Linked DNA regions of Arabidopsis thaliana. The protein of the gene in region 3 interacts with the protein of the main gene of each other region in a pairwise test. Each region holds a gene or a part of one and is shown on either strand. Other genes may lie near its edges.

Region 1 (7,180 bases), on a different chromosome or scaffold from region 3:
TCACCTTTTGACTATAAGATTCTTGATATAAGAACATTTGGTGGCTCATCTAATGTCAGCACCGTGGAGTTGGTTGCTAAACAAGGTAGAGTGCTTGTGTTGTTTTGTGTTTTGCAAAATTCTAAAACTAAACAAAGTAGAGTTTGTATTTGCAGAGTTTTTCATATACCGGATTGTGTTTTTAATCATGGGGATAGTGTTACTGAGTTTGGCTTCTAGACTTAGCAAATCAGTTGCGTTTTACTATATCGGTGCAATGTCTATTGGGATTGTCATTCTTGTAACTCTTATCATTAATCAGGTAAAAGTTTTCATAACGCTATCTTTTGTTATATGTTTCATGGTTTTTTCTCTGGTTAACGTGATAAACGGTTGTGCAGGGGATAAAGCGTCTACCAACTAGAGGGAAGAGTCGTTTTCAGTTATTTTTCTACTCGTCTATGGTGAGAGTTGTCTTCTCTTTGAGTTCTTTTGTCGAACATGTACTAACCAAAGCCTTCTTTTATATTCTCAGATTGGTGTGGGAGGTTACTTTCTTCAATACATACGCGGTTTAGTTCAAGATTTGCTAATGCAGATAGAAATCAGTGAAGATTTGTACATCCCTGTATGTAAGTTTTGGTACTTGTTGTTATGTCACATATTCATATTCTGGTTTGATTAATCTTAAACGGCTTATGTAAAATTTTGCAGCTGGCGATTCTTTTGGTTGTGTTTGTATTTATGTTGGGAGCGTGGTCAGGATTTTGGACTGTCAAGAAATTTGTTGTGACAAAAGATGGTTCTGTTGACATTAGTACATCAATCTTTGTCTCTTGGTCCATCCGAGCTTTTGCTGTGGCTCTGATCCTTCAGGTACTTCGTTTTTTCTCTGCTTTTGCTTCTGATTCATCTTTGATTATAACCAAACCTTTTGGTGATTGAAGTCTTGATCTTGTGTTAATTAACAGAGCTCTTTAGATCCATTACTTGCTGGAGGAGCGTTGATAACTGGAATTCTCATCTCATTGATTCTAAAGAGTATTAGCAGAAAGCTGTTAGCTCAAAGAATATATGAGCAAGATGATGAAACTGAGAGTTGTAGCCCCGGCTTGATCCATGCTACCTCGTTTGCTTCTCCTCTTCCTAGAGGTTTTGATTTTTTCTCTTTGTGTCTCTAGTGGTCTGATTTCTTTATACTAGTCCCTTTATCTCGTAATGTTGTTCTTGAAGAACCGGTTTTTCTTCTGTAAATGGTTTTTGCAGGTTCCAACAAGAAGTTGAGGACAGTACCATTATCTGAGTCAGATATCTTTCCTTCTTCATTCCACAAAACACCAGAAGGGAGAAGGAAGCTAACGAAGGAAGAGTTGCAAAAATTCACTAAAGAGAGCACGGAAAATGCATTGAAGGAATTGGTTTCTTCACCTGGTTTTGGCGAATGGGCGGTGAAAAATGCTAAAAGAATCACTGTAAATCCGATAAAGGAATCGTCAAGTAAATAGGGTGATACTGTTAAGCGCAGAAGAAGGTTCCTCTGGTTCTGAAAAGCAAGCAGCTAGGGGAACTTCTGAACCAGTCGGAGAGTGTAGTAGGTTGCTTGTGAACAAAGCAACAAGCCTTGCTTATATATAGTCTTCTGGAAAAGAACTAATGAGCAAGGCGAAAAAGTTGAGAGATTAACTTCTAAATCAACAAAATGTAACCTTTGACATAAATTGATATTGACCAATAAGATCATACGTTTCCATGTGTGTAGTCATCAATGATGTGAAACTCAATACTATAGTGTATTTTATTTGAATGGACGATGATAGTTGGTATAATAAAGGAGGAAATAAATAAAGTCATCTTTTTGTTATTTAACGGCTGAAATTTCAATAGCAATTTAATTTGAATGATTCCAGTTCCACAAATATGAGTTGGTCATCTATATCACATGTAAGTTTTCTTAGTTATATTTAAAAATCATTAAAATCTAAGAGTAGTCCTTGGAGAGAACATGTCTCTTGTCTCCTAAACCTCCTTTATTATCCATCATCATTGTCACTAACCCTATTATTATTCCATTCACAGCGAAGAAAAAGAAGCAAAGAGTTCGTTATAAAGAAAGAAATAAACCCTCAGATAAGAGCATAACAGAGAAGAAGAAGAAGATGTCTTATCAAGACCCACAACATCCCGTTAGTGCTCCTCCTCCTCAAGGTAATTCCCAATTTTTTCCAAGTTTTTAGGGTATTTTTGTTTCTTGTTTCTTAAGTTTCGATGTTGTTGTTTTGTCAGGGTATCCTCCTAAGGAAGGATATCCACCAGCAGGGTATCCTCCACCAGCAGGTTATCCTCCACCACAATATCCTCAAGCGGGATATCCTCCAGCAGGTTATCCTCCACCGCAGCAAGGATACGGTCAAGGATATCCAGCACAAGGCTATCCTCCACCGCAATATCCTCAAGGTCATCCACCACAATATCCTTATCAAGGTCCTCCACCACCGCATTATGGTCAGGCTCCACCGAAAAATAAGAAAGATAAGAAGGATTCAGGAGGCTTCATGGAAGGATGGTGCGTTGACCAATTATCTCTCTCTTTTTATATTAACATATAGTTTTGAATACTTGAAGCTGATGATATACCTTTTTTTGGTTCATTATTCATAAATTTTGGTATGGAGTAATATGGATATTCAAAGTCTATATGTTTGGTACTTATAAAATGTGTATTTGTTTTGTATTACAGTTTGGCTATGCTCTGCTGTTGCGTTCTCTTGGAAGCTTGCTTTTGATCGGAAGATGAGCTGATATTTGCCGTTGACCGTCTTGAGGATGCTATTCAATTTTGTCAAACATGTTAAAAAGACGTGTTTGATATACATTTTAGATCTCTTCTTCTGGTTATGTGTGTCCACGTTTTGGGTTTGTTTCTTTAATTTTCTTTAATTTTATGAATGAATCCGAATTTGACTTGAGGTCTTGTTTACTTTCATGACTATTGATTGATTCAGGGTATGTTACCCATCTTTTGTATATGTGTGTTTTATCTTTTGTATAAAAGCCATTCATTCTTTCCAACTAGAGGAACACAAAAAAAGAAAGCAACCCAATTTTGTTCTCTTTCTCATCAAAAATGTAAGAAGAAGTGACTGTATCAACGTGATCAAAACTTAGCATTACCATCAAACTTATATAAATTTATACTTACGGTCCGATATATTTCCATTTTCCGTCTCAAACATATATGTCACATCCACCATTCCTCGGTTGATCAACTATTCAATGTACAAATTTTTATAAAAATACTACTAAATCGTATATAATCTTGAGTCTTCACTTCTTATATTTAATGTAAGAGAGTGGTTTAGTATCCACCGATTAACTCGGTTCAAACCAAAAATACACCAAAATGATATGACTGAATTGTGAAATCAGTCCAAGAACTAAAAGTCGATGAGCTCGGCATCGACCTCCATGAAGATAAGGAAAGATTCACTCAAATCTTAAGAAATAATACGGTAAAGAATATTAGACATATTCCCATCCGAAAAATAAGAAGCTCGATGACCAAACAAAAAATCCGTAATTCTATTTTCGAAAACCCTAAATTTATTATATTACTAAAAAATCTCTTGTAATTGTCAAGTTTACTCTCAAAAATCATTTTTCTTGAATCTCTTGTTTACTCTAATTTCTACTTTGCTTTTACTCGCATTGTTAATTTAATTTCATAAATTAATCCCTAATAGATCAAATGGGTGTATTTTTGCAATTATAAAGTTTAAGACGAATTTGTAAAAATGAAGATAATAAAGGGCTCCCAGTAAAGCACCTCAAAATCGATACATACTTCATCCTCCAACATGCGTAGGTGAATCGAAAGATTAAAGGTCAAATTTTTGTGTCTTCTCTTCCTCTGTCTCATGCCACAATTTTTAGATTTCAAACTTTGATCCATGACACTCTCCATAGCTTCCTCTCTCATTCCCTTCAGCTTTCTCAGGCATGTCTTCTTCTTCCTCTTCTTCTCCTTGTTAATTTCCCCATTTCCCTGATCGAAAGCTTTAATCTTTTTCTCGTGCGTGTCTTCGTAATCTCTGGCGTTTCTATTGAATTACTAATGCAATTGAAAAACTTGGGGATTTCATTATAAAGTATTGATCTTTGTGATGTTTTCATCTGTTCACAGAGAATTGAAGTCGAGACATTAGAAGTGTTTGTTGTGTGTGTGTGTGTGTTTCTATAGAATTTTTGAATTTTGTGATAAAATTGTGTGAATGGGAGCTCCAAAGCTGAAGTGGACACCAGAAGAAGAAACAGCTCTTAAAGCTGGAGTACTTAAACATGGAACTGGAAAATGGCGTACCATTCTCTCAGATCCTGTGTATAGCACAATTCTGAAGTCTCGTTCTAATGTGGATCTCAAGGTAAAAACATCAACAACTTTAAAGTGAAGAGAGATTATAGAAAAGTTCGAAACTTATACTATTGTTGTTGTCTACAGGACAAATGGAGAAATATAAGTGTAACAGCTTTATGGGGATCTAGGAAGAAGGCTAAGCTTGCTCTTAAAAGAACTCCTTTGTCGGGTAGTAGGCAAGACGATAACGCTACAGCTATTACCATTGTGTCTTTAGCTAATGGTGATGTAGGAGGACAACAGATTGATGCACCATCTCCTCCTGCAGGTTCTTGTGAACCTCCAAGACCTTCTACAAGGTTTGGTCTCTCTTCTTGTATTTGTATGAATTCTTGATGCTGTGAATGTGGAATATGGGAATAGTGAGGAATATAATAGGCTTGTTTTAATGTGTTTGTTGTAGTGTGGATAAGATTATATTGGAGGCTATTACCAGCTTGAAGAGACCATTTGGTCCTGACGGAAAGTCGATCTTGATGTATATAGAGGTACAATGAAGTTTTCCTTCTGTGTTTATTCGTTGTGTCTGTAAATAGTTAAGCATTGCTTACTGCATCTATATACAATCATCAAGGTCTTAGTGTTGCTGTAAATTTTCAGGAGAATTTCAAGATGCAACCGGATATGAAACGGCTTGTGACTTCAAGGCTGAAGTATTTGACAAATGTTGGAACATTAGTTAAGGTATAAAGAGAGATACTTTGATCGAAATTTCCTCTTGCAAATGTCACAAATTTAGCACTGACTTAACAATGGTTTTCTTGCGTTTGTTCTCACCTTTCAGAAAAAGCACAAATACAGGATTTCTCAGAATTATATGGCTGAAGGAGAAGGACAAAGGTCTCCTCAACTCTTGTTGGAAGGAAACAAGGAAAACACTCCGAAACCGGAGGAGAATGGCGTCAAAAATCTTACTAAATCCCAAGTAGGTGGAGAAGTTATGATAATGGGTATGACAGAAAAAGAAGCTGCTGCAGCAGCTGCAAGAGCTGTGGCAGAAGCAGAATTTGCAATGGCAGAAGCTGAAGAAGCAGCAAGAGAGGCAGATAAAGCAGAAGCCGAAGCTGAAGCTGCCCATATTTTTGCAAAAGCGGCGATGAAAGCTGTGAAGTATAGAATGCATAGCCAAACTCGGTAAGAATTAAGAAAATCATTGATGTTGTATCGGTTGATATATCTTCAATTCTTCATGTTATGTCAAGTTTCGATCTTGCATCGAAATCAACATTTTACAATCGCCGCAGTGTTTTTAGTCAGTAACAGTGTCTTCTAACTCAGATGATTATGTAAAACCTGTTCCTTCTCTTGCTTCTGTTGATCTGGTTTTGTTAGTAACTTCACAGGTTTCTCGTGAACCATTTTGAAACTGGTTTGAAAAGATATAAATAAGGCCTTTGATTTGTATACAGAGCTTATTTCCGTTTCCTTGGATTTTTAGAAGTTGAAAAATTGAGACACTTATGTTTTTGTTGCAAAGCCTTAAGAATAGAAAACAACCTCTTGAGCAAACTAGACCAGACCAGACCAGCAGGTGAGACAGAAGACAAATAAAGACAAACTCTTGTTTCACGCGAAATTAGTTCAAGACTCATCATCATCATTAACCAGACAACAGAGGACGAGTAAGAAGATCAAGAAGAGAGAACATATGATGTTCTTGTTGAAGTTTAGTTCTTTGATTTTGAGTGATTTACAAGCCAATCAGTGAGCTGATCAATGGTGGTAGGGTTCTTGCAGGATATCATGAGACAGCAGACTTCTCTACTTGTAACCGAACTAAGCCCCCTGCAACAAAAACAAGGCAAGAAGCATAATCAGATCGAGCTAAATGAGATGCCTTTAGTGCTGTTTTTGGAGTGTTCAGATGAATAAAGAGCTATACATTTCTTCTGTCAAGGCTTCTTTGGAAAGAGCTCCATGTATGTCAATCTTGTTCCCAAGAACCAAAAGAGGAATACCAATAAGCGAAGCATTGCTCAACAAATCATGGAGTTCACTTCTCGAGACACTCAAGTTTTCAGTATCTGCAGCATCAACTACGTACCTAGAAATTGGAATCAACATGAAACCAAGTTGTGAATAAGCCAAGCAATAAAGATAACAGAGAAACCTGCCTCTAAGATCCTTACACAATCATAGAAACAGCGCGACAGTAACGTTCCCACATGCAGCGGAATCTTGGTTGACCACCAAGATCCCATAGTCTGATTGCAACATTTTCTTTTGTCACTTTCCTCATGTTAAACCCGACCTGATAAACCCACAAAGACGAATCTCTTCATGTTGTTCCAAAAAAAAAAAACAGGTTTTGGATCGAAAACCGTATTTGATCAAAGATGCAGTGTAACAATTACCGTAGGAATCATGTCTTCACTGTATTCACCAGTCTAAACAAGTAAAAAGACATCATTATATCCCCAACCACCATCATATAAGTGTTAAAGAGATTATCAAAATGGAAGCATAGTATACTTACTGCAACAACATTAACAAGTGATGTCTTTCCTGAATTTTGAAGTCCTACCAAAGAAAGCTCCATTTCTTTTGCTTGAAGATTAGGCTGCAAAGTCATATTGATCGAAACAAACAAATGAATAGGTCCTCCTCAAAATGTCAACTAAGAGAAGAAGAGAGAGCACTAAGTTATTGTCTTTTTACAGCGAATCTATAATTTTATATTTAGATAGTTGAGGCAAGTAGCTACTTTATTTTTGTTAGCTACTTTATATTTGTTCGATATCTAGTTTCTATTTCAGATATACAATAACCAGAGTTAAGAGTTTATTTCTC
Region 2 (9,921 bases), 3.3 Mb from region 3:
AGGCACGGCTGACCTTGTATAACGCAACTTCCATGGCCTTCAATCTGTTAGGAGAGCTGAAAAGAAACAAAACATTTATGTATGACTCTTCTAAATTAACACAATATTCATTAAGATTTAGCTTCATAAGTAAAGGCCAAAACTTTTTACAGGATGGAACAGGACTCCCTTTGAATCAATCAGCTGTGCTCACCTCTTTGGCAAATATTTATCCTTGGTAGTATCACCAGTAGCCCGTTCCAGCTCTTTCGTTCGAACTCTCAACTCCTTTACGATTTGGGAGTTATTCCCAGGTAGGGCCAAATTCAGATAGGCTTTCGCTTGGATAATTTTGTCTCTGATCTCCTTTACCCTCTCATCTGTTGCTCTTTCAAGTTGAACCCTTGTATTCTTTTCACTCTTACTTGAAGGGGGTCGGAATTCCGTTTTATGATTAAGTTGAATATCTCTTGCTGAAATTTTCACCTGAGACAGGAAATGGAACATACATTACAAAATTAAAGCATATGCTATGACTATCTGGATGCAAATTCTAAATTCGATTTTCTATTAACAAGTGTTAGCAAATCCCATTGAAGAAAGTGTCCTGTGATTTGACAAAAAGATACTAGAATTCTCATAGTCAATTGCTTCTAACTAATCCATAATCAAGTTCCTTTTATCTTCAAATCAACTGGATTAAACTACGTACCTCCGCATTCGAGCTTACTGTGGTTTTCTGTGAAACTGCTTGTTCCTCCTTTGGTTTGTGATTATTTCCTGAAATACATGGTATCTAAAGATAAGAAAGCTTCCCCGATAATGACAACAAAACAAAATAACACAAGATCCGAAATATATTACCCTTATCAACTTCTGAGAGAAAGTTTTTTTGGTCTCCCTCATTAGACTGCACAGTATCATTACTTTTATCAGAGGAATTTGACAAAACCACAGAATTAAAATCTCGATCCTGCAGAATACGTTTAGGCTCCTTCAAGCCTTCTTCGTCCTGAATTACAAAGCAACCACACTTCAACAAAATGAATGCTTAAACAAAGTTTATGGAATGCTTAAACGAACAGAACCTGTTCAATAGCAGTAAGTCTAAGTTCATCCTCGGTCTTATCTGTCTGCAGAATAAAAGTAGCAGCATCTCAGTTGTGCATTCTCGAGAAAATGAATAGGATAATACGCAACGCTACGATATAGAATCATTGCACAATCAAACAGCAATACTGAAGAGTTCCTGGTGAGGATTAGAACAGAAGGATCTAAGCTCAGGATATACGTACAATGTCGGATAATTCTTCAATGAATTCTCCTCTATCTGCCAGAAAACAATCAATAGACAAAATCAAAACAGCTTTCAGAAGCGTAATCCAAAAGCTGAGACTAAATCAAACAAAGGTAAATCCAGTAACGAATTCCAGAAATCTAATCAACGCAATCTGCAATCAAGTAACAACTCTTCACTATACTATCGCCATATCCATCAATCTAACATCCCTGAGACCAAAATTAGAAAGCGAATTGAAGAAACCGCAGAAGTAGAAGAAGCTCACCGACGGAAGTGATGCTCTTGAGCCGATTCGAAACGAAAACAATCGGAGCTAAAACAGATAACAATAGCAGCGAGAGGATCAGAATCCTCTGCCAACGACGAACTTGATTCATCAATGTGCGTAACTTCTCAGAGAACGCTTCATATATTTTATCTCCGTTGCGCTTTAATCGTTCTCCACGAAGAAGAAGAAGCACATTCCCAGAGGGAAGAACACAGATCTCGGAGATTCTCTGCTTCTTCAACAAGCAATTGAAGAAAACGATGAGCAGATTAGGGTTTTCAGATTCTTCTGCAATAGGATTCGATAAATGCGAGAGTCTGTTTCTACGATTTCATATCTGGAGATTCAGAGCTTCCTCGTGCATGTTTAGAGACTTCTGCTCTTTTATTTTTTTTCGCTTAACTCAGATTTTTTAATATTTATAAATCAATGTATTTATTTGATTTTTATACGGAGAGGATTAATGTTGAGATACAGATATAGTGCGGCGCGGTGTACATGTGCTAGCAAAATTACTAGTTTACTAAGATTTGACTTCTTTTGATTGGCTTAGTGGAAATTCTCCCAAGCCACCATAGATGTTTTGACACGTTGATAGAATGTACTGTCAATGATTTTCAAGAGTGGGAAATTCACAGCTTTGTACTTTGGAGTTTGGAGGAACAACTGGAATGTTTGAGGTCGAATTTGGGAATTGAAATTTTTAACCCCTGGATGAGTTTATATTTGATTGATCTCTCTATTATGGGGTGTTGAATGTTATTTACAAAAAAAAAATAGTCATTGTTTTATGGACGAATAAATTATCTACTTGTCGTTTTTTTACCGAATAACGCATAAATTAGATTCAATACGGATAATTCCTAAAATAAAATAAAAACGGTTAGTTCTTCTAACATACGTTACTATAACAAACGTACTTGACGAGTTGGCATAAAAATGTATTTCTACTGTTTTAAAAGTAACGTACGATTCGTCTTGCATACTGTGACGAAATATGTAAATTCTTTTGTCGCTTAGTGATGATGTGAATTATTTTGATTCATAAAGTAGAAACTCGATACATACCTATTAACTAAACATGTATTATGTTGTGATTCATTTTTGCCTAACAAATAAAATTTATTAGCAAGAACCATTAAAATTTCATACTAATTTTGGATACTAAAATGTTAGATTGATATATAAGAAAAGTATATACTCAAAAAGATTTAACAATTTACCAATATTTAGTATTGGAATCAGTGTAGTGTTTGTTAGTACATGCTTTTCTACATTTAGAAACAGTTAAATTATAATTGCAAAAGGAAGCAATATTGAGGTATTAATAAGGTTTTACACTTTTACTTCAGCTAGCTTTGAATTTTAGAAGTTTTATGGACTATTAAATTATCTACTTGTCGATCTTTCATAAAAACTGTTGGCTCTTGCGAGAGATATGTGACCTTCCAATTGATCGCGAAGTGATAAGATGTATTCGATTTTTTCAGCTTATGCCATTTTTACAACTTTTCGGAAAAATGTTTCAAAATATCCATTATGAATTTGACATCCAAGTTATAAATTAGATAAAATTTACTTGAGATAACATATGGACATATAGATTTTACTTATTTATTAGAGTTCATTAACGAAAAATTATTGAGTTAAATATAGACATCTTTAAACTCGTTAATTTTAAAAAGAAATAATAAACAATATATATATATATATAAATATTTTATTTTCAAATTTTATTTATTTAAAGGGTTTTAATTTTTATTAACAGTTATAATATTTATGATTGTTTCCGGTTACTTTGATGCTATTTTCTCGTAATTCCCTTTTGTACATATATATTTAGAACCAAAAATTCAATCATTGAGAAGCATACTCTCTGTCAAGTGTAATTGATTCCTCCTCTTCATTTTTTAATTCTTCATTTCTTAAGTTTTATTAATTAATTGACTCACCTCTTCATCTTGTTTATTTCCAAGTAATTTTCCTAATGATGTCAATAAACAAAAATAAAAAGATTAAAATCACGCAATATCAGTAAAAAAGGAGAGAGGGTTAAATCGGTGGTGGACTTTGCAGCCCTAAACCATTGTTTCGCCTCGGAAAAGCCCATTTACACAATTGGGAAATAAATAAAAACAGAGTAAAGAAAGGAACGTCTTTTACTCTTTACGGTATCGCTCGCTTCTCTTCTTTCTCCTCAACACGAAGACCCCTCTTGCCTCTTTATTAGAGAGACCCCTTCCTTCTTCTTCTTCACCTTCACCTTCTTCCTCGATTCAGATCGTCTCCTCCTCTGTTTTATACTCACCCTATTCCTTCGAATCTCTCTCCATTTTTATCCCCAGATTCTCCCTTCTTCAACCTCGTCGACTCTTCTTCATCACTCTATTTCTTCCGATTGAGACTTCTTTCACTCTGATTTTCTTCGACCCTTTACGGATATATTCGGTCTTGAGTCTCCATCGGATTTGGATTTGAATGTAGGTATCTCGCACGAGAGTTGTTGTTTAACGTAAATCTGGGTTCTTTTTTTTGGTGGGTCGTTGTTTTTCTTCTACATGCAGTTTTGGGGATAGTACGTGCGATTCATCGATCAATCCTCGTTTAGATAGACATCAAGGATTTAAAGGAGTCGTTAAGAGAGCAATGGAAGGAGACATGGTGGCTAAAGTGAAGAGAGAAACGGTGGTGGCATGCATGACTTGTCCTCTCTGTGACAAACTCCTCCGTGACGCCACTACCATTTCAGAGTGTCTTCACACGTGTTAGTTCCTCTTTCCCCTTCTCGATTTACGTTTCGATTCGATTTTACCCGGTTTCTAATTTTCGCAATTTCTCGTCTTTATCGTCTTCTTTGATTGGTTCTCTGTTGTGTTTTTTTTTTCTTCCTCTTGCTGATTTGGATTGAATATCTGCATGATTCTTGTTGTTAGTCTCGTATGCCACTTATGATCTCCTCTATGTCTCAGTCGATTTGATGAAACTCGAGTCAATGAATAGTTTTGTTTGGTTTTCTCAACTAAAGTAATAGTTGTTGTTGAGCAGAATTTGTAATCTTTGTTTACATTTAGACTGCAAGAATCCTCCTTTATTCGTCTCTTTAGGTAAAATTTGTGAGTGTCTTCTTCTTCGTCAAAGATGGTTTGGTCAAACTCATGACGTCCAAATTTGGTTTTGGCTAATCATGTTGTTAGTTAGATTCAGTTGCTTTGTTATATCCAACTTGTAAGTTTTGTGTTAGGAAGTTCGAGTAACAAGTGCTTTAATCTACTCTCATCGGTTTAATGTAAGTTAATATTTGGATTAAGTAGCATTTATCAGCCTCTTTCTTCTACATGATATTATACAATTAAGACAGTTTAGATCATTTTCTGTTTGGAATGGCTTAATTTATTTCTTTTAACATACAATCCAGATTAGTAGTGAGTTTTCTGCATGTTGAAGTATTTGCTGATCTCTGTAATTTATTCAAATTTAGTTTATATTCCTTTTGGAGTCTAAATCAATCTACCATTCCAAGCTTTACACAACCAATTCTTTGTTACCGTTTACGGAGAAATATACCTTGTTACTCTGTAATTATTTTACTCATTCCATCTGATTTTAAAAAGGTAAATGTTAACAGTTCGGTTCCGTTGTACAACTGACCAACTGCTTATCTCAATTTAATAAAATTTTCAGAACGCCCTGCAGAATCTCTTTTTGAGTTACTGCAGTGCCAAAATTAGGTGTTAAATGCTTCACGGTTTTGTTTCTGGGGATGAATGCAGTATCCCCATCAAATTTGTGATTCCATCTCTTTTGTTTAGGTTGGTAGCTATGGATTTTCTTGATTTTAAAACCAAACAGTATGATGCTCATTAACCACTTGTCTACAAGCTTCTGCCATGACAACTAATATAACTTGATGCAGTAGAGACCATACCAATTATCGGCCTTGCTATAATGGATTTGGTGGAAGGAGTCCGATAATCTAACTTGCATCTAATAAATTCAAACTTGGCAGCGAGCCAACTTGCATTGAACCTCAAACATTATGCTATTCATTCTTTACTTAAACTTTTGATCTGAGAAATTGTTTGTTTTTATGTAAGTTGGTCGCCTTTATTACAAAAGATTTTGTTCTTACTTGATAGTTACTATCTATTGAAATGAAACAAGTTCTTATATCACTTTTATGCAGTTTGTAGGAAATGCATTTATGAGAAAATCACAGAGGATGAGATAGAGAGCTGTCCAGTATGCGATATTGACCTCGGGGGTACCCCACTGGAGAAACTAAGGTAAGTTCTTCTTCTTCTTTATTCCTTACACAATTTTCTCCTCGGTCTTGGTTTAGCAGTGATTCCTTGTATAGACTGTTAGAAGCCTTTTGGCTCTTACTGTTGATGAAACGAAGTTTTCTTACATAATGCTGAAAAGTTGTACATGATTATGCTGAGGTGTGCCACATATGGAAGGTTCTTCCGTAATTTTTGTGGCATAGTGTGAAGTTAATCAAGAAAAGTCATTTCGATTCAGAAGCAGTTATGACCTGAATATGTTGGCTAGTTTAATACTTTCGCTGACACCAACAATTTTTTGTTAGAACCTGAAACAAATCTCTTTAGTACTACACTCTCTCTTACTAGTTGGTCACCAGTAAGAGCTTTGTTGGTGGCGAACTTATTCATTTTCTAAAGAACCACTCTTATGTATTTATTTTAGGCCTGACCACATTTTGCAAGACTTGAGAGCCAAATTATTTCCTCTAAAACGTAAAAAGGAGAGAGCGCCTGAAGTTGTGTCCTCCATCTCATTACCTGCAAAGAGGAAGGAGAGGTCTATCTCGTCTTTGGTGGTAAGCACACCCAGGGTTTCAGCACAAGCTGGTACAACAGGAAAAAGAACAAAAGCTGCTACGAGAAAAGATGTAAGAGGTAGTGGTTCATTCACTAAGAGAACAGTGAAGAAGGAAGAAGAATTTGGAGATGATCATGTAGAGAGCGCAAGCTCGCCTGAAACACTTAAAAAGTTTACTCAGAATAAAAGACAGGTAAAGAAGGTGATCATTGCAGTTCTCTCTTTACCTTTATGTTTTACTTTTTCTCTTTACCAAGTCCAAACACAACGTTATGACTGATTATGGTCTTTATATAGTTCCCCATACATTTATTTATTTATTAATTCTTTTTTTGCAGTCTTCATATGCAAATCCTAACCAGTCCCTCTCTAATCGAAGAAACAAGGATGTTGATGAACCATGGGATTCCAAATTACATCTTTGGAAACCTCTAAATTTTCTTGTGGATGTGGCAAACGGAACAAAGGACCCAAAATCTGAGCTTGGAAACGCATCCCACAATGATGTTCAGGGGAGTAAAACCAAAACAAAGGATCATAAAAGAAAGTGTAAACTCGAGGAAGAGATCAGCAATAACGGTGATCCTACAACATCAGAAACTGCTACACTTAAACGAACGCGTCGGACTCGTCGCAAAAGGTCATCTACTTTTGGTGATTCTAGAATTCCACTGTTACCAGGTGCAGCAAGCCTAAAACAGGAGAGGAGAAACGGTCATGTTTGGTTCTCACTTGTAGCGTCAAGTAATCAGTGAGATTCCTGTTCTGTATCTGAGACTCTGAGTACTTCTGATATTCAATATTTTCTGTGTCTTTTCATTTCTATCTCTTAGTGACACGGCTTTACTGGTTTCAGGGAAGGAGAAGCATCATTGCCTCAGATTCCAGCAAACTACTTGAGAATAAGGTAAGTTGTTCTTTTTGCTTTGCTCTGTTTCTTGTCACTAAGTTTTTATATGTCAACTGTGAAGTCTGTGATCAAATATTACTTATTATTGCATTGATGGCTTTGAATTCGATTTCGCAGTTGTTTTACCCGAGTTTCCATGTCATGTTTGTTTTCTGTGGTATACGTTTCTTGATAAAGCCTTCTTCTTTTTTGGCCCATCACACCTAATCCTTGACTGGGAGGTGTCTATTTTCTTGTTTGGGAGAATTATATTGTGCCAGAGTTGATCCCCTGTCTCATTATATGGTAGGGATGGAAATATTCCAGTTTCTTTTATCCAAAAGTACCTCATGAGGAAGCTTGATCTCAAGAGTGAAGATGAGGTAAGCAATCTTATCTTATGCAGTGGCTACTTTTCTGTTTTATATGAGGTATCCACTCGGTCTAATATGGAATCACATAGACCGTAGTTCTATACATTGGTTCAAGTCTTGTGCTTATCAATATGACTGTAAGGTCCCCATAAATGTTTAAACTAAAGTTAACTCTCCCTTTTATTTCCGACTTGTGTACCGGGTGATATCTTATGATCTGGGACTTTTTCGACCCACCGGTGTTGAACCTTAACTACTCTATGTTTTTTTTTTGTAAACAGGTAGAGATAACATGTATGGGAGAACCAGTGATCCCAACGTTGCAGCTTCACAGCTTAGTAGACCTATGGTTGGAAACAACTTCTAAGCATCAAAGAGTCGCTGCGTCAATAGGTTCATCTGCAAAGGAATTTGTAATGGTGCTAGTTTATTCTCGGAAGCTCCCTGAATGCAACAACTAAAGAGCTATTCATTGAATCTTTTCTAGACCGAGAAGAAAGAAAAGTGCAGGAGCAGTGGAATGTCTTGTGTAGAAAGAAACTTAGCAATTTATATTTATTTAATTGTAATCTTAAAATTTGAAACATTGGTGTGAGACAGACACTTTGTTTGTTTATCCAAGAAGATTCAAAAATGGCTTTTTAAAGGAGATTGTGTCCTTTTTGGATATTTGAATGTATGATTAGGATAATGTTGTCATTTCTATAAATATTTGTTTCCTTGTTTGGACTAAATGGAGAAGTACACGGAATCCTTGTGAATCGAATGACTTAGCCATTATTGAGAAGTCAAAAGAAAAATAACCAAAAAAAAACTTGTGAAGTGTACCTTTAATACAAGAATTAAAGAGAGATGTATAAAAGTTTTCTAACAATTTTGTTCACCAAAAAAAAAAGTTTTCTAACAATTTTTAATACAAAATGCAAAATTAAAGATGAATTTTCTTATTTCTTTTTTTAAAACATAATTTTGAAGAAATTTGGTTGTCTTTTTGCATTTGTTTCTAGATATTTCTAAACTGTTGGGAAATAAAAAAATTTGCACACAAAACATAGTTAAATTCACGTGGTATTTATAGAGATTTACTTCAACCAAATTTGGATTTTGGGTCATTGTTTTATGGACGGATAAACTATCCATTAGTCAAATTTCCACAAAAATAATATGTGAATTAGATTCGACAAGGCTAATTCCCCCACAACATACGATACTAGAACAAACGTACTTGACTACTTGACGTAACAATGTTTCTCTTACTGTCTTGAAAATAACATATAACTCGTTCATCACCAATTTTCTTGTACATGATTGATTAAGTGTGTAAGCATCTTTTTCGATTAATGATGATGATGTTAATTGGAGAAACAAATTTTTCATAAATTCCCTTATAGACAAAGTCTTATAATTTTGTTAAATTCCGCATATATTTTACCAAAACTTTGTCGAATGGAAAGACACGTCAAATGTGCTAATTAGAAACTGTTGTATTGAGATTTCAAGAGGAATCAATAATAAGGTACTACTAGGGTTTTATTTCAATTAGGTTTGAATCTTGGGTCATTGTGACGAATAAATTATCTACTTGTCGATTTTCTACAAAAAGCACACATGAATTAGATTCAACGTGGCCAATTCATCTAACATATGTTACTAAAACAAGCGCAATAGACGAGTTGGCGTAATTTTATTTTATACTATCTATAAAGTAACGTATGATTCGTCTATCACCAATTATCTTGTAAATGATGGTAAAATGTCTAAATTCGTTTGTCGCTTAATAATGATGATGATATACGTTACTTTAATTAAAAAAAGCGAATTTTCGATAGATACTCTATTAACTAAGCATGCACATATCACGTTGTGATTGATTTATGCCTAGTAAATAAAATTTATCTCCAGCAAGAATAATTGAAACTTCATAACTAATTTTGAATGCTAAAATGTTAAATTGATATATGGGAAACAAGTTATGATACTCAAGAAGTCACCAATATCTAGTATTGGAATCGCTGTGGTGTTTGTTTGTAGATATTTTTCTACATTTAGCAATGTATTACATTATGATTGCAAGAGGAAGCAATATTAAGGTATTAATAAGGTTTTTACTTTTACCGGGTTAGAATTTTGGGTTTGTTTATTGGATGAAGAAATTATCCACTTGTCGATCTTTCATAAAAAGCACACGTGAATTAGTTTCGACATAGTTATATAGTTCTCCTAATATACGTTATTTGAACAAGAATACTTGACTAGTTGATGTAACGAT
Region 3 (6,952 bases):
GAATAAAGACATCAAGACAAAAAGAAAAAAAAAACAGAAAAAAAGACATCAAGACTTCATTGAGCCCGTAACCAAAATTATCAAAACAATTATTATCCCTTCATATATGGATGTAAGTTGTATGGAAAATGATTACATTCACAACAAATGTGTTTTTTGTTTTGTTTTTTGGCAATGCATATTGTAAATTTAATTACGAATGGCATGACACATGGATGATATTTAAACAAACCACTATATCACATATGTTGTCGCTATAAAAAATATTTATTATTGGGTTAATCGATCCCAGGTCCTAGAATTAGTTTTGATCTCTTTGCTATATATAAGAACAATCGGTATATTATAATAAGAATGCATTGACCTAAAAAATACTATTAATAATAATATTAATGCAATAATGAGGCAAAACAATTAATCACACATGATTCACGAGGATAGGAAAATGGTTCCAGAGACAACTTCACAAAGAGTGATTATTATGGTATTTATTGTATTTTAATTATTAAAAAAAAAGGAAATTAACAGCAAAATCTATATTGTAAACTCACTTTACGTAGAAAAACTTCTTCGATATAATATTATGGCTTTGATTGGTAGGTTATGAGGACGTGGAAAACATAGATTAAAAGGCAATTCTAAAAAAGACCACTAAAATGATTTTGTTCGGAAAATACCATTTAGTATTTTTGATTATTTTTTTCAAAAATACTACTAAAAGATTTTTTCCTAAATACCACAAAACTAAAACTAAATATAAAATTTTCAGAATTAAATCCTAAATCCTGAAAAATAACCTTTAAAATTAAACCCTAATCCCAAAATACTAAATTCAAACCCAAAATTTTAAATTTTAAACCCCTAAAAATCATTTTTAGTGTTTGTGTTATTCTTACTAACCGCAATCCGTCTCATAACCAGTTAAGCATATAGGATATTTTACAAATTCCTATGCAATGTGAAATATAGTTGACTATTTGTATTCTGGAATCTTTTATATCATGGTTGAATTTTTAAATTAATTAGTAAAAAATAATTCTTAAAAGTGTTTTTTGGAAAAATATTGATTTTGCTAAAGTTTTTTGGAACAATCATGAATCTGCGCTGCTGTATTAATAACTTAATTAGTAATTCTATACACAAACTCAATTATAGATCTTCGATTCACAAAGAAGCACGGAAATTAAGATTGTGTATAGAACTAATCTTAATTTCATAAGTAACTAATTTATAATTAAGTTATAATTTATTCACAATCTCAATTATAAATTTGACTCAATTATAACTTAAATATTTCACCATTTATTTAATCACAGTTAATTATTATTTTTTAATTTGTCCAGACAGATTCAACGGGAGCCTCGTATTATTGCATAAACAAGTAGGAGTTATATAAACATAGTATTTTTCAACCTCTACTGGCTTTAGAATATAAATATCCAATTATCATCTATATGATAAGCGTAAAATCTATTCTACGTCACGAAGGATTGGATTTTATTGGAGTTTTCTTATAATAAAACTAATGATTTTGGACATTGATAAGCAAATTCGGATCTGTAGTGGGACCAAGTTACTTGCAATAACACGTGGGGAGTTGAGTTCAAATCTTTATATGTTGATCATTTGATGTGTTGGCACGATCAGTGGTTTTGTTTTATTTTTTGAACAAGCATCATCAGTGTTTAAAATAGTGAACATGATAACTTACTTATATCATTAGGGGTAAATATTAGCTATCAACTATCAAGTACGAGCTAATCATAAAATGATATATGAACTTTAGACCCATAATATGATATCTTCAAGACTACTTAAAACCTCAATTTTCTGAAATATACTATGCAAATACCCAAAACACTTAAACTAACAGAGCATTTACATATCCTCTTTTGCATCTGCATTTTTTTTTTTTTTTCTAATTTTGAGCATCGAAAGATCTTCGAAAATAACTTTTTATGCTCCTAACGATCGATTTTGACAATTTTCTTCGTGGTCTATTTAAATACTGCACAAACTATCACAATTTTGTCTAATAAAAAAACTTACAATATTTATCATTGTTTTCTTCCAGTTTATCCATATGTCATATGCTTTATCTACATTTAATCTAATTCGTCCACGTGATGGGCTGTGGTTTTTTTTTTTCTTACCTAAAGTCATAGACTCACAAATCTATATTTCTATCAAGATGGATACATTTATGGTACGAATCACATGATTTTGATCTTTAATTAAAGTCTTGTTAGTTTTCCAATGCCAGATCTCATCGCATCGGTGGCTACTCAAATCCCCACCTATTAATACCAATTTCAACCAAAACAATTCCCACATTTAATTATTTTCAGGACCTTTAATTTACTAAAATTTATTATTGCTAAACCTACCGGATCGGGTAAACGGATATGCGATTCGTCAGCCAAATTCATATAACAATTATAAACCATATGCTCTTTTTCCATGCAGATATTAATTGTATACTGCAAAATAATGATTATAAAAAACAAAATCATATAGATCCACTATAAAGAGTTCACTCGACCACATTCACATAACAAAACAAAATCATACATACTCCAGAACAAAGGAAAATTTAAAATATATCTCCTTATATACTCCTAAAGTTTTCTTTCCTTTAGCTTCTTGTTTAGTTTTATTCTTTCAACATTAACTTTTTTTTACTCTCTTGTCAAAAGAGAAAAAGAGTTCTTGTAATGGATGATTCAAGCTTTATGGATTTGATGATCGACACTGACGAGTATCTGATCGATGACTGGGAATCCGATTTCCCGATATGCGGGGAAACTAACACCAACCCCGGTTCCGAGTCTGGATCTGGAACCGGGTTTGAGTTGCTAGCAGAAAGACCAACGAAGCAAATGAAAACCAACAACAACATGAATTCAACATCTTCTTCTCCGTCGTCTTCTTCTTCTTCTGGTTCTCGCACGTCACAAGTGATCTCATTTGGGTCTCCAGACACGAAAACCAACCCGGTCGAGACATCTTTGAACTTCTCCAACCAAGTAAGCATGGATCAGAAAGTGGGGTCGAAAAGAAAAGATTGTGTTAACAATGGAGGAAGAAGAGAACCACATCTATTGAAAGAACATGTTTTGGCTGAACGAAAACGTCGACAAAAGCTCAACGAGCGTTTGATTGCTCTCTCTGCTCTTCTTCCTGGCCTCAAAAAGGTCAACATCTATAAACCATCTCTTTCTGATTGTACTTTAACTATTTGTGTTTGGTTTAATATTTATTATATAGTATATTCTTTTATAAATAACCCACCAGAACCGTAAATATATATTCGGAAAAAGAAACTCATTTTTCTTTAAATGTAAATGTAAACTCCAACCTCAACAAACATAAGAAAATCTTGTTCTTATTTACATTTTGAAAATGAAAATCTGTTTTTTTTCTTAAACGTTTTTTTTCTCGTAAAAATCGTGTTTAATATGATAGGCTTGTAATTTGTTTGTATGTGGATGCCACTACTCATAAAATCCGGATGGTGACACAATGTTCTCTAGTAAATATTGTACTAAATGTTTTTTTTTTTTTTGTGTGTGTGTGTGTAGACGGACAAGGCAACAGTTCTTGAAGATGCCATCAAACATTTGAAACAACTTCAAGAGCGGGTAAAGAAGCTGGAGGAGGAGCGAGTGGTGACCAAGAAAATGGATCAATCAATTATATTGGTGAAGAGATCTCAAGTGTATTTAGATGATGATTCTTCATCTTATTCTTCTACTTGCTCTGCTGCGTCTCCTCTGTCTTCTTCTTCGGACGAAGTTTCGATCTTCAAACAAACAATGCCTATGATCGAAGCCCGAGTTTCAGACAGAGATTTGTTGATTAGAGTCCATTGTGAGAAGAACAAAGGGTGTATGATTAAGATCTTAAGTTCCTTGGAGAAGTTTCGTCTTGAAGTAGTCAATAGCTTCACTTTACCATTTGGAAATTCAACTCTCGTTATAACCATTCTCACTAAGGTATGTTATCAATCTTCTAATATTTTTTTATTTATCATATTCTATCTTTTTTTATATATTATCATTTACTGTTGATTTTTATGTATTAATGTGATTTTTAAATCTAATTTGCAGATGGACAACAAATTTTCTCGACCAGTTGAAGAAGTGGTGAAGAACATAAGAGTTGCGTTAGCTGAATAATATTTTAAAAAACGTTTATGTGAATTTCGCAGTGGTTAAACGTGTTAGATTTGGTCTCCAATTTTGACCAGATCACTCGGTTTAGTTGAATAATGAGTAGTTGGATAATAAAACCAGATATATGCACGAAATATGGGATTTTGTCGTTTGTTGAGTGCAAAAGCTGGATTGGTGTGTGTACCTAATTATGGCTGTATCATTGGTTTTGATACTTTGATATATATTTTTCCCCAATATCATTGGGTTGGTTCAATAATGAAGTACCTAAGTGTTCATTAATTTTATTGGCTTCATGTTAATTACTTTTTGATTATACTTAATCTGTAAATCTTTAACTGAGAACGAGAAATCTATGCTAACTATATTGGGACTTCATGCTGCTATAAACAAATTTCATTAGAAATTCTTTTTGTGTTCTTATAAAAGTTTTGAGTTCAGTTGACCTCTATGGGCTCTTATAAATTTTTATTTACTTGTATTTTGAAATAAAAATGGTTACTATAGTTACAAATTTGCTTATTGATCTCAGTGTTCAAGATTTATATTATAAATTGTGAGATATGATTTTCTCCCATTCCCATTTTGATTGGTCGACCAAATGCCTTGTTTTTAAAGGTTATGTAAGTATTACTTAACAATATTTTCGTCCTAAATCTTCCACTTTTTTTTCAACTACACATTGATTAGAGATTCATTTTTTGATTGGTAGCCCAATCAAAAAGAGAAGAGTTTACATAAGAATTATCAGAACTTAAAGATTTAGAAGTCTTAGCTAAATAATCAATTTGAAAATTACAAGAGCGAGGAATATTAGAAAACGAGAAAAAAAAACTTAACTTGGAGCGAACCAAACTCATCTAGGATTTTGAAAAAGCGGGACATTTCTGATGAGATTGCAATATAGAGAAAGTAATTCTACACAATCTATTTCGAAAACATGACAATTTACATTTTTTGAGAGAATATTCTTAATACAATCCTCCATTTCTTTTTACAATGAAAAATTGAATCATTGCTTATTTTCAACATTAATCACACATTAATTTTAATCTTATTATTTTATTTTATACTTATCTTCTATATCAATCTTTAGTATTGATAAATTTTATTAATTGAAATTTATTTTTTATTTTTAAATTTTATATACCTTTTCACATTGTAAACAGTGCTTAATTAATCAACGAATGAGCTGTTAAAAGAAAATGATAAACAAGATTATTTTAAAATAGATTTAATACTTTAAGAAATATATGTCTAGTATTTTCAAATATTTAAACCAAATTTTCTTTCACTAAACAAATTTTTTTATAAGACCTACAAATGGTATCTATTTTGTATACAAAATAGACACAATTGTGACCCCACTAAGAAATAGACATATAGAAAAGTTAATACTTGTAGAATAGTTTGTCTTTTTGCTATAAAAATATTAAAATACAATAGCGACCCCTTTAAAAACAGTGGTTAGAGGAGGCACTAGTTGTAGTTATAAATTTTGAAACAATTTATTGTGTCTTGCGAGTGGGCTAAAAATTAAAATTCCCCCATTAGACAGTGATAGGAAAAATATTTAAGACATAAGTTGACTAACAATAAATGTCATTTAAAGAAAAAATAATGGGTGGGGAAATCGTTAATTTTTAATCAACAAAATTGTAGTGATCTTACTTCCATCGGGGATTCTTCTAGAAATATACTGAGAAATGTTGACAGGAAACAAATTGAGTGTAACGCTCCGACCATCACCGTATGTGGTCTTCTATACTATTTCTCAGTTCGTAGACTTCAACATCGTCTGATAACAATTTTAAAAAGTTGTTTATTGTCTAAATATGTATCAGAAATTACTTCTAAGCAAGTCACTCATTCTAAAAGTGCTCCAGCTCAAATACGTTTAATTATAGAGTTTTAACACGATGTTTAACCCCAAAAATAATTAAGTGTAGTTTAGTAACATTGATAAATAAAATAATTCTTTTAATCTTTCTTTATGTACAACCATATTTCTAAAATTAGGGATGTTACATTTAGGTTTCTTTTTTTCCTTGCTAGAATGTAATAATCCATAATAATAATAATGATTTAGATTCTAATCTTTCAATTATAATATATACAAGTGGTCCCATGGTAAAAAGAAAAAACATGGAAGCATAAATCATAAAAGCAATTTCAGTCCACTACTCAATATTAACACAAAGGCTAATGAATTTAGACAAAGTGATGACGATATCATATTTAATTTCCAAATCCATTGTTCGAAATGAGAGTGCGAAAGCTAAGTGGAAAAAGCCAAAATTACCAAAACTCTTAGCACTAGAAACCTTTCACTGGAGGCCCAAGATTGAGCCGTCAACTTCACATTTACGTTCATCTTGACATTTTAAAACGGCTGTCAATTTCCATCACGAAAAAAGTGTGTATATGTGTATTGAAGTCTCACTTCGAGTATGTTTTTTTTGTTGTTATGTGATTCTATCGAGTTAGTATTGTTTGCTATTGGCGCATACATCTTTGTGGACCGGAGACAATAGCAGGCTAATTAGTCATTTTCCAACGTGTTTCGAACTGGAGACCCGGCACATGAGCTACAACCTTTAACCACGTGAGTATCTTGTGCTGGTTGGTTATCGAGTTATTGTTAGGTTTTGGAGTCTTCTAAGATTTATGTGAAACCAGTATCATTAAAAGTGATAGCAATAAAAAAAGATGAAACAGATTTACGTAGCAGTATATTATTATGATAGTCTTATTAAACTTGGTTTCTTCTTCCTTTT
Region 4 (6,657 bases), 4.5 Mb from region 3:
TAGAAAAAGCTTCTCCCTTTATTACCTATAACAGGCAAGATGGTCTTGCAAAGCTCTAAAAATGGCTTAGTAAGCATCTCGCCTTGATCAGATTTGACATGCTTCATTCCTTCCAAACAAGGCGTGAACACAGTCCCTTCCATTTTTTCAAGTTTGACTTATCTGAATATGAGATCAAACACTGAAGAATGAAGATAATCAACATTAAACAAACCCAAAACTGAGAAACAACATGAACAACACTGAGAAACACATTAACTCAAGCAAAAAGGTAATGAATTGAATCAAACATGAAAGTCACTTTGTAAAAATGAGTCAGCTCCATAAGGAAAATTGAAACAGCCAACAATCTCTCTACACATGCAGATATAGAACTATTTAAATCAGCTCCATTACAGTGGAAATCCAGAACAAGAATCATAAAAATGGCATCAACCGAATCGATACAGAGATCTAATTTCAATTGGATCCACCAATCAAGCAAGAGCATCAAAACAGCGTGAGAAGAAACAATAAAACAAGACAATTATTCGAGATCTATTGATTCAATGGACGAGAATGACGAATCTAAGGCTGATCTCTAACGGGGAAGGAGAAAGATCGTACCTTTGCCTGAGAATTGAAAAAGGTGGGATGGATCAGATTCTGCTACTCTGGGATTGTGTTCTTCGCTCTCTGGAGTTAGAAATTTCTCTTTCTCTTTAAACGGCTCTCGTTTTAGAAAATAATAATTGTGTTAAACGCCTAAAACGTAACGGAAGTTTCTGAAAAGCCCTAACATTTAGTATCTTTCAATTACACCCATTTCATAGAAAATGTAGAAAACACACAGTTTTATTACATGCTTGTCCTGCGGACCGGTCCTGACATATGAAGTTACATTTGTTGTTGTAGGTGTTTCATCTTGATATATGAGATTCTCAAGTGGATAAAATTTGAAACCAAACAAGGCTTTATACCGAATTTTTTTAGATAACAAAATAAAAAGTGAAGAGATTATGTCGGGTCAGTTGGGTCTATAGTACTCGAGTATTGCCACATAATAGTTTCCATTTCGTTTGTTGATTTTCCAATCGCTTGGTCAAAACTTTAGCATGTTAGTTCATTATCCATAGATTCTAGGGGTTGGTTTGTTTTCATCTAATTAAGACCGTAACTCAAATAAAATGATAGTTCACTTTGATAATATTTTGTGAAATTGTAATAACCTGGATTAGTAGAAATATCCTGGATTAGTAGAAATATAAACGAGTAATTGACTATCACAATAAAGCTTAACAAGCCGAGTGAGTAACAAGTATGAGCAAGTAAAGTATCATTTCTTGACATGTAATTTTCATTTTTCGTAACTTTCTCTACAACCCAATTATTGACCGCAACTAAAAATAATATTATGTTGAGACATACAACAAGAACATATGGAAGAGAAAAAAAAAAAAAAAAAAAGTCGATATGGATTTCGTTGACGACAAATCCACATTGTATTATTTGGACAAGAGACATGACCTTTACCTTCTCCTCACGCAACCGGCATTTGTTGAAGTCTCCCATTGTCCCTCCTTTGGGCCCTACCTTTAATGCCAAACTAACCCATTGTATTTGGTATTCTACATAAAAGTTGTACACTAATGTACGATACGATTCAACTACATTAACCGTATGTTAAATTATATAGTATTCACTTGTTGATAAATAAATTATGTTTGAACACAACAAAACTTAGTTTCTATATCCGCTGCTGTTTTGTTATAGTCGTCATTCGTACGAGTAATTCTTTATGTTCCGCACTAATCACGCTTCTTTTGTACCACTTAGTATGTGATTTTCTCATTCGTGGTCTTTGAATTGTATTAGAGGCAATTTAGTCTTTTGTGAGATTAGGAGGTGTGTACGGAAAAGTGTGTGAGACAAATGAAGTTAATGTGGAGGAGATCTATAGTGGGACAAAGCAATTGAAAGTCGCTTTAGAAGCAACTAAATGCCCTCTTGACTTCTCCATTCTCCTTGCGATTTACGCATTTACCTAATTGCATCTTTTACTTGTTTAGCTTGTTAAGTTCTTCTACAACATTACCACTTTTGCTCTCTTAAGTTATTGCAACTTGACAATTTGTTATACCCTTTATCAAAAAAAATACCTGGCAACTTGTTTGAGCTCCTGAATTAATCACATCTCTTAAAAGACGTTTTGCGAGTATAACATGAGCTTTTCTTTTTATAGATTCATTCACCAATCAAATATAAAAACTATAACACAATTAAAATGCCATGTAGCTAGGTATATTAGCAAGTCGTAGAACAGAAATGGAAAGACTTGATGAAAGCACGTCAATTCAATTTCATCTCCTATAAATAAATTGTTGTAGGAAGCCAACCGTTTTGGAATTTCTTTTCTTTCGTTTTACGTAAGACTATATAGATTCAATAACGTGTTGGTTTAGAAACCCATACTTATAATGGTTGACAAAAAGAAGAAAGAAAAAAATATAAACATATACGCTAAAAGTGTTTACCAAATAACAGGGTTATGTAATTTATTATCTGGATTAGGAAAAGATGATTGGACCATGCGATGGAGTAGAGGAATCTGCAGGGCATTTGTCACTTTCATGGACCCCATGAAATCACATCTCTTTTAATTGAATAATCGAAATCCAGTTGCATACGCATCTTTGTCTACGATTGGTCGTAGCACATATACGACATATGCCATAACTACAAACTAACTTAATCTTCTAATAATATTGTTAACGATCGTTAATACTAAAAATTACTAATATATTAGTCGTGTTATCTATGTGTTATGAGGTGTGTTAATTGTTGATGCATAATGAATGAACATGATCTCTAATTTGTTTACCTCACACTATGTGATTCAAGGGTGGAAGTCGTTGGTTAGCAAACATTAGTGTCTCAGGACAAGATAGCTCAGGACAAGATGTCCGAGCGGTTCAGAATCAGTAATGTTTTTTTCCGGAGACTCTACTCGTTGAGTTTTTGCTTGTACTCCCTGGTGTTTGTGTTGTGATGTAGTTTTGTTGTTTTACTTAGTTTTTGATCTTTTATGTAATTTGTATTTCGCTGTAACTTCGGTAAAAAACTTGTGAAAATAGTATAAGTACTTAACATTGATACAAAAAAAAAAAAAAAAAAAAAACTCATGAGGTCTTGTTATATATATGGTGATCACATCTTTAAAGAAAATGTTATAGTATTTGTTTTAGTTTAAACAATTTTTTATGTGCCAAAAACATTATTAAAAAGAGAGCAATACCCTACTCTAAAATAGTAAAGCTACCAAATTCAATTCATTACGACATGGCTCAAAAGAAAAAGTATTTCGAATATTATACGATATCAACCCCATTATCATTGCTATAAAATAAGCCAAACTTTACCTCTCCATTTTCAATAATCTCTCATCTTCTTTCGTCTCTCTTTCTACGGTTCAAACATTAAAAAGATAGATGGAGAAGAGGAGCTCTATTAAAAACAGAGGAGTACTTAGATTACCACCAGGGTTCCGATTTCACCCGACCGATGAAGAGCTAGTGGTTCAATATTTACGTCGAAAAGTAACCGGTTTACCCTTACCAGCTTCTGTAATACCGGAAACCGATGTTTGTAAATCCGATCCATGGGATTTACCAGGTACAGAAATTGAAAAATCTACTCTAGGGTTTCATTCAAATTCAATATTTGATGGTGTATATGCATGATGATCACAGGTGATTGTGAATCAGAGATGTATTTTTTTAGCACGAGGGAAGCTAAATACCCGAACGGAAACCGGTCGAACCGGTCTACCGGTTCGGGTTATTGGAAAGCGACTGGTCTCGATAAGCAGATCGGTAAGAAGAAGCTTGTCGTGGGGATGAAGAAAACTCTTGTTTTCTACAAAGGTAAACCACCAAACGGAACAAGAACTAACTGGGTTCTTCATGAATATCGTCTTGTTGATTCACAACAAGATTCATTATATGTAAGAGAATCAAATTCAAATAAATTAGATTCATCAATCAGTTGGATAAAAACTTGGCTAAAAAGTGTATTTTAATGTGTTTTTAAAAGGGACAGAACATGAATTGGGTTTTGTGTAGAGTGTTCTTGAAGAAGAGAAGCAATAGTAATAGTAAGAGGAAAGAAGATGAGAAAGAAGAGGTGGAGAATGAGAAAGAGACAGAGACAGAGAGAGAACGTGAGGAGGAGAACAAGAAGAGTACTTGTCCCATATTTTATGACTTTATGAGAAAAGACACGAAGAAAAAGAGAAGGAGAAGAAGATGCTGTGATTTGAATTTGACTCCTGCTACTTGTTGTTGTTGCTCTTCTTCGACTTCTTCGTCGTCTGTTTGCTCAAGTGCTTTAACTCACACATCTTCTAATGATAATCGTCAAGAAATCAGTTATCGGGAAAATAAGTTTTGTTTGTTTCTATAGATTAACAAACTTGGGAACAACTTCTATTAACTTTAATAAATTAGATTATGATTGTTTCCAAAGTTAATTATGCAATCCAGGAGTCTTTCTTGGTTTTGGTAATTAATAGCCATATTTTATAGCTTATCTAATTGTATCAAATATTGAAAACTGGTTGATCAAATATCTAATTTGTTAATGAGTGTCAATTAACAACAAGGACCAACCATCTAGCTAACAATTCAAGCAATCAAATCAGAGACTAACACTACATTAAAGATCACTCTTACAAAAAAAAAATGTGGAACATTTTTTTATAGAAAAAATCATATACCCAAACAACACAAATTCATTTATTTTGATATCTGAAAAAGCATTATATGTTAAAAATAGAAAATGCATAATGATTATTTCTTTCAATTGTTGGGTTGTTTCTAAGTTTTTGGACAACACTTTTTTACCCATACTGTAAAAGATCACAACATTGATAAGAAAACTCTCATGTCTGGTTGAAATAAATTAGTAAAAGGTTAGAATAAATTGGTTTAAAGGTAAATTAATATTTTAGTTTTGGCACAAATTAACAAATCAATTAATTTTTGTTTATTTTTAACTAAAACATCATTGATTATCTATCTATATCCGATTCAACCAATATAAAATAATTTATCAAATATAAATCACCCAAAATCAATAATAAACTAGATAATTTTGCAATGGAAGTCGAAAACATCATCTCATTTAAAATTCCAAAAAATCAAATAAAGGAATATTAATATAACATAGACAATTTAGTATGATTTTGGTTTTAGTTAAACATATCTTTGATCTTCAAATTTTTTTTATTTTTTTTTCGGTTTGATTGAAACTTACTTTTATAGTTTGATTTTCAGATTGATTAAGAATGAATCGGTTTGATAAAACTCTAATGTAAATGGAGTAATTATTGTAATATTCAAAAGCCTAAACCATTTGCTGCCATCATTAATTGCACTTGCTGACGTAATTATAAGCGAGAATAATATGATCCCAAAAAGAAAATTGATAAAAAGGACGAAAGAGAATCAAAGAGACGACGAAGTCAAGGATCAAAGCCTTAACTTTTCCTCTAAAACAATCGCTTTTTTATTTTTCTAAATTTCTCTCTGTTCTTTTTTCCTCTGGTTTTGATTTTTTCCTGGCATTATTATTAGGGTTTTTTTCATACGTTGTTGAAAATGGCGTAGTTGGAGAAAGGAGACGAATCGATCATCTACCTACTTGCCCATTCTTTGTCGTCGTTTTTCGATTTTCCTTGATTCGCCGGAGAAATAGCGTTTCCGGCAATGAAAACCTCTCTCCGACGGTTACGAGGTGTGCTTCACAAGCATGAATCTAAAGACCGGAGAGATCTTCGAGCTCTGGTTCAGAAAGATGAGCTTGCCCAAGCTTCTCAGGTACCAATCTCTATCTCACCAATTCGAATTTGGACTGTTTTCGTTTTTTCGTTGTTAGCTGTTTGATGATGAGGCGATTCTCAATCATATCGTCGCTCTAGGTGGAATTAGTTTCCAATTTAAGTTTAGTGACAATGATTTAGGAAACGGTGATGATTCAGATATTCACGAAAATTGTGGTGGATCTAGAGCTTCCTCGATTTAATCTGAGCTTCTCTGTAGCTTTTACGTTTTCTTTATCTGGTTAAGTTAGATCGTCTCTTTCACTTGACCAACCTAATTGAAAGGTGGAAGGTGCTTAGGTGTTTCAATTTACTGCTCTCTGTTTTACGATGAGATTAATGAGATGTTGATGTAACTGGTCTCACATTGTTTAGCTTGTTTGTTATTTTCGCAGGACGTAGAAGACATGAGAGATTGCTATGATAGCTTGCTCAATGCCGCTGCTGCTACTGCCAATAGTGCTTATGGTAATCTATTGTTCCTTTTCCTTTGTTCGGATAAAAGTAACCCAGCTAACTTCATAACTTTACTATTCAGAATGGTGGTTTTTCAGTTTGATGTATTCTTAAGTTTAGATTTAATACTTGTAGTTTTGCATTCTCATTTTACTGGTTCAAACGCATAGGTCTATTATTGAACTGTATTGAACCTTCAGTTATAACTCTTGAGTGAATCTCTTGCATCCCAATTTATGGAGAGAAACATCTTCTTGTTAATAAATATATATTCTTATCATTTGCAGATTTCGTTTGCTTGCAGAATTTTCTGAATCTTTGCGAGAACTAGGTGCTTGTCTTCT

The links.
Region 1: the proteins of NAI1 (region 3) and TRB3 interact in a two-hybrid assay, tested with the Arabidopsis thaliana proteins (one large-scale study listed by BioGRID).
Region 2: the proteins of NAI1 (region 3) and DRIP2 interact in a two-hybrid assay, tested with the Arabidopsis thaliana proteins (one large-scale study listed by BioGRID).
Region 4: the proteins of NAI1 (region 3) and NAC041 interact in a two-hybrid assay, tested with the Arabidopsis thaliana proteins (one large-scale study listed by BioGRID).

The regions. Positions count from the first base shown.
Region 1 is NC_003074.8:18,485,204-18,492,383, forward strand, and holds TRB3 (telomere repeat binding factor 3), read left to right. Parts: upstream 1-3,789; 5' UTR 3,790-3,973; exon of another isoform or gene 3,974-4,159; 5' UTR 4,160-4,247; coding exon 4,248-4,397; intron 4,398-4,474; coding exon 4,475-4,689; intron 4,690-4,793; coding exon 4,794-4,878; intron 4,879-4,990; coding exon 4,991-5,074; intron 5,075-5,174; coding exon 5,175-5,528; 3' UTR 5,529-5,793; downstream 5,794-7,180. Other genes in the region: AT3G49840 (transmembrane protein (DUF2215)), read left to right, coding at 1-85, 156-301, 381-443, 515-607, 694-855, 951-1,131, 1,246-1,484; WIH3 (cysteine-rich TM module stress tolerance protein), read left to right, coding at 2,136-2,184, 2,263-2,542, 2,717-2,762; ARLA1B (ADP-ribosylation factor-like A1B), read right to left, coding at 6,058-6,175, 6,273-6,434, 6,520-6,641, 6,745-6,777, 6,867-6,962.
Region 2 is NC_003071.7:13,022,251-13,032,171, forward strand, and holds DRIP2 (DREB2A-interacting protein 2), read left to right. Parts: upstream 1-3,660; 5' UTR 3,661-4,193; coding exon 4,194-4,311; intron 4,312-5,730; coding exon 5,731-5,830; intron 5,831-6,254; coding exon 6,255-6,582; intron 6,583-6,727; coding exon 6,728-7,140; intron 7,141-7,245; coding exon 7,246-7,296; coding exon of another isoform or gene 7,297-7,300; exon of another isoform or gene 7,301-7,588; coding exon 7,589-7,661; intron 7,662-7,933; coding exon 7,934-8,113; 3' UTR 8,114-8,411; downstream 8,412-9,921. Other genes in the region: LGT5 (los glycosyltransferase 5), read right to left, coding at 1-56, 194-465, 692-759, 844-991, 1,068-1,112, 1,275-1,309, 1,545-1,656. UniProt on the Arabidopsis thaliana protein: E3 ubiquitin-protein ligase that acts as a negative regulator of the response to water stress. Mediates ubiquitination and subsequent proteasomal degradation of the drought-induced transcriptional activator DREB2A. Functionally redundant with DRIP1.
Region 3 is NC_003071.7:9,682,144-9,689,095, forward strand, and holds NAI1 (basic helix-loop-helix (bHLH) DNA-binding superfamily protein), read left to right. Parts: upstream 1-2,418; 5' UTR 2,419-2,714; coding exon 2,715-3,194; intron 3,195-3,581; coding exon 3,582-3,995; intron 3,996-4,109; coding exon 4,110-4,178; 3' UTR 4,179-4,470; downstream 4,471-6,952. UniProt on the Arabidopsis thaliana protein: Transcription activator that regulates the expression of at least NAI2, PYK10 and PBP1. Required for and mediates the formation of endoplasmic reticulum bodies (ER bodies).
Region 4 is NC_003071.7:14,177,808-14,184,464, forward strand, and holds NAC041 (NAC domain containing protein 41), read left to right. Parts: upstream 1-3,170; 5' UTR 3,171-3,467; coding exon 3,468-3,651; exon of another isoform or gene 3,652-3,715; coding exon of another isoform or gene 3,716-3,728; coding exon 3,729-3,982; intron 3,983-4,071; coding exon 4,072-4,440; 3' UTR 4,441-4,632; downstream 4,633-6,657. Other genes in the region: GLTP1 (glycolipid transfer protein 1), read right to left, coding at 26-143; AT2G33490 (hydroxyproline-rich glycoprotein family protein), read left to right, coding at 5,745-5,855, 6,253-6,325, 6,618-6,657. UniProt on the Arabidopsis thaliana protein: Transcription activator of the mannan synthase CSLA9. Recognizes and binds to DNA-specific sequence of CSLA9 promoter.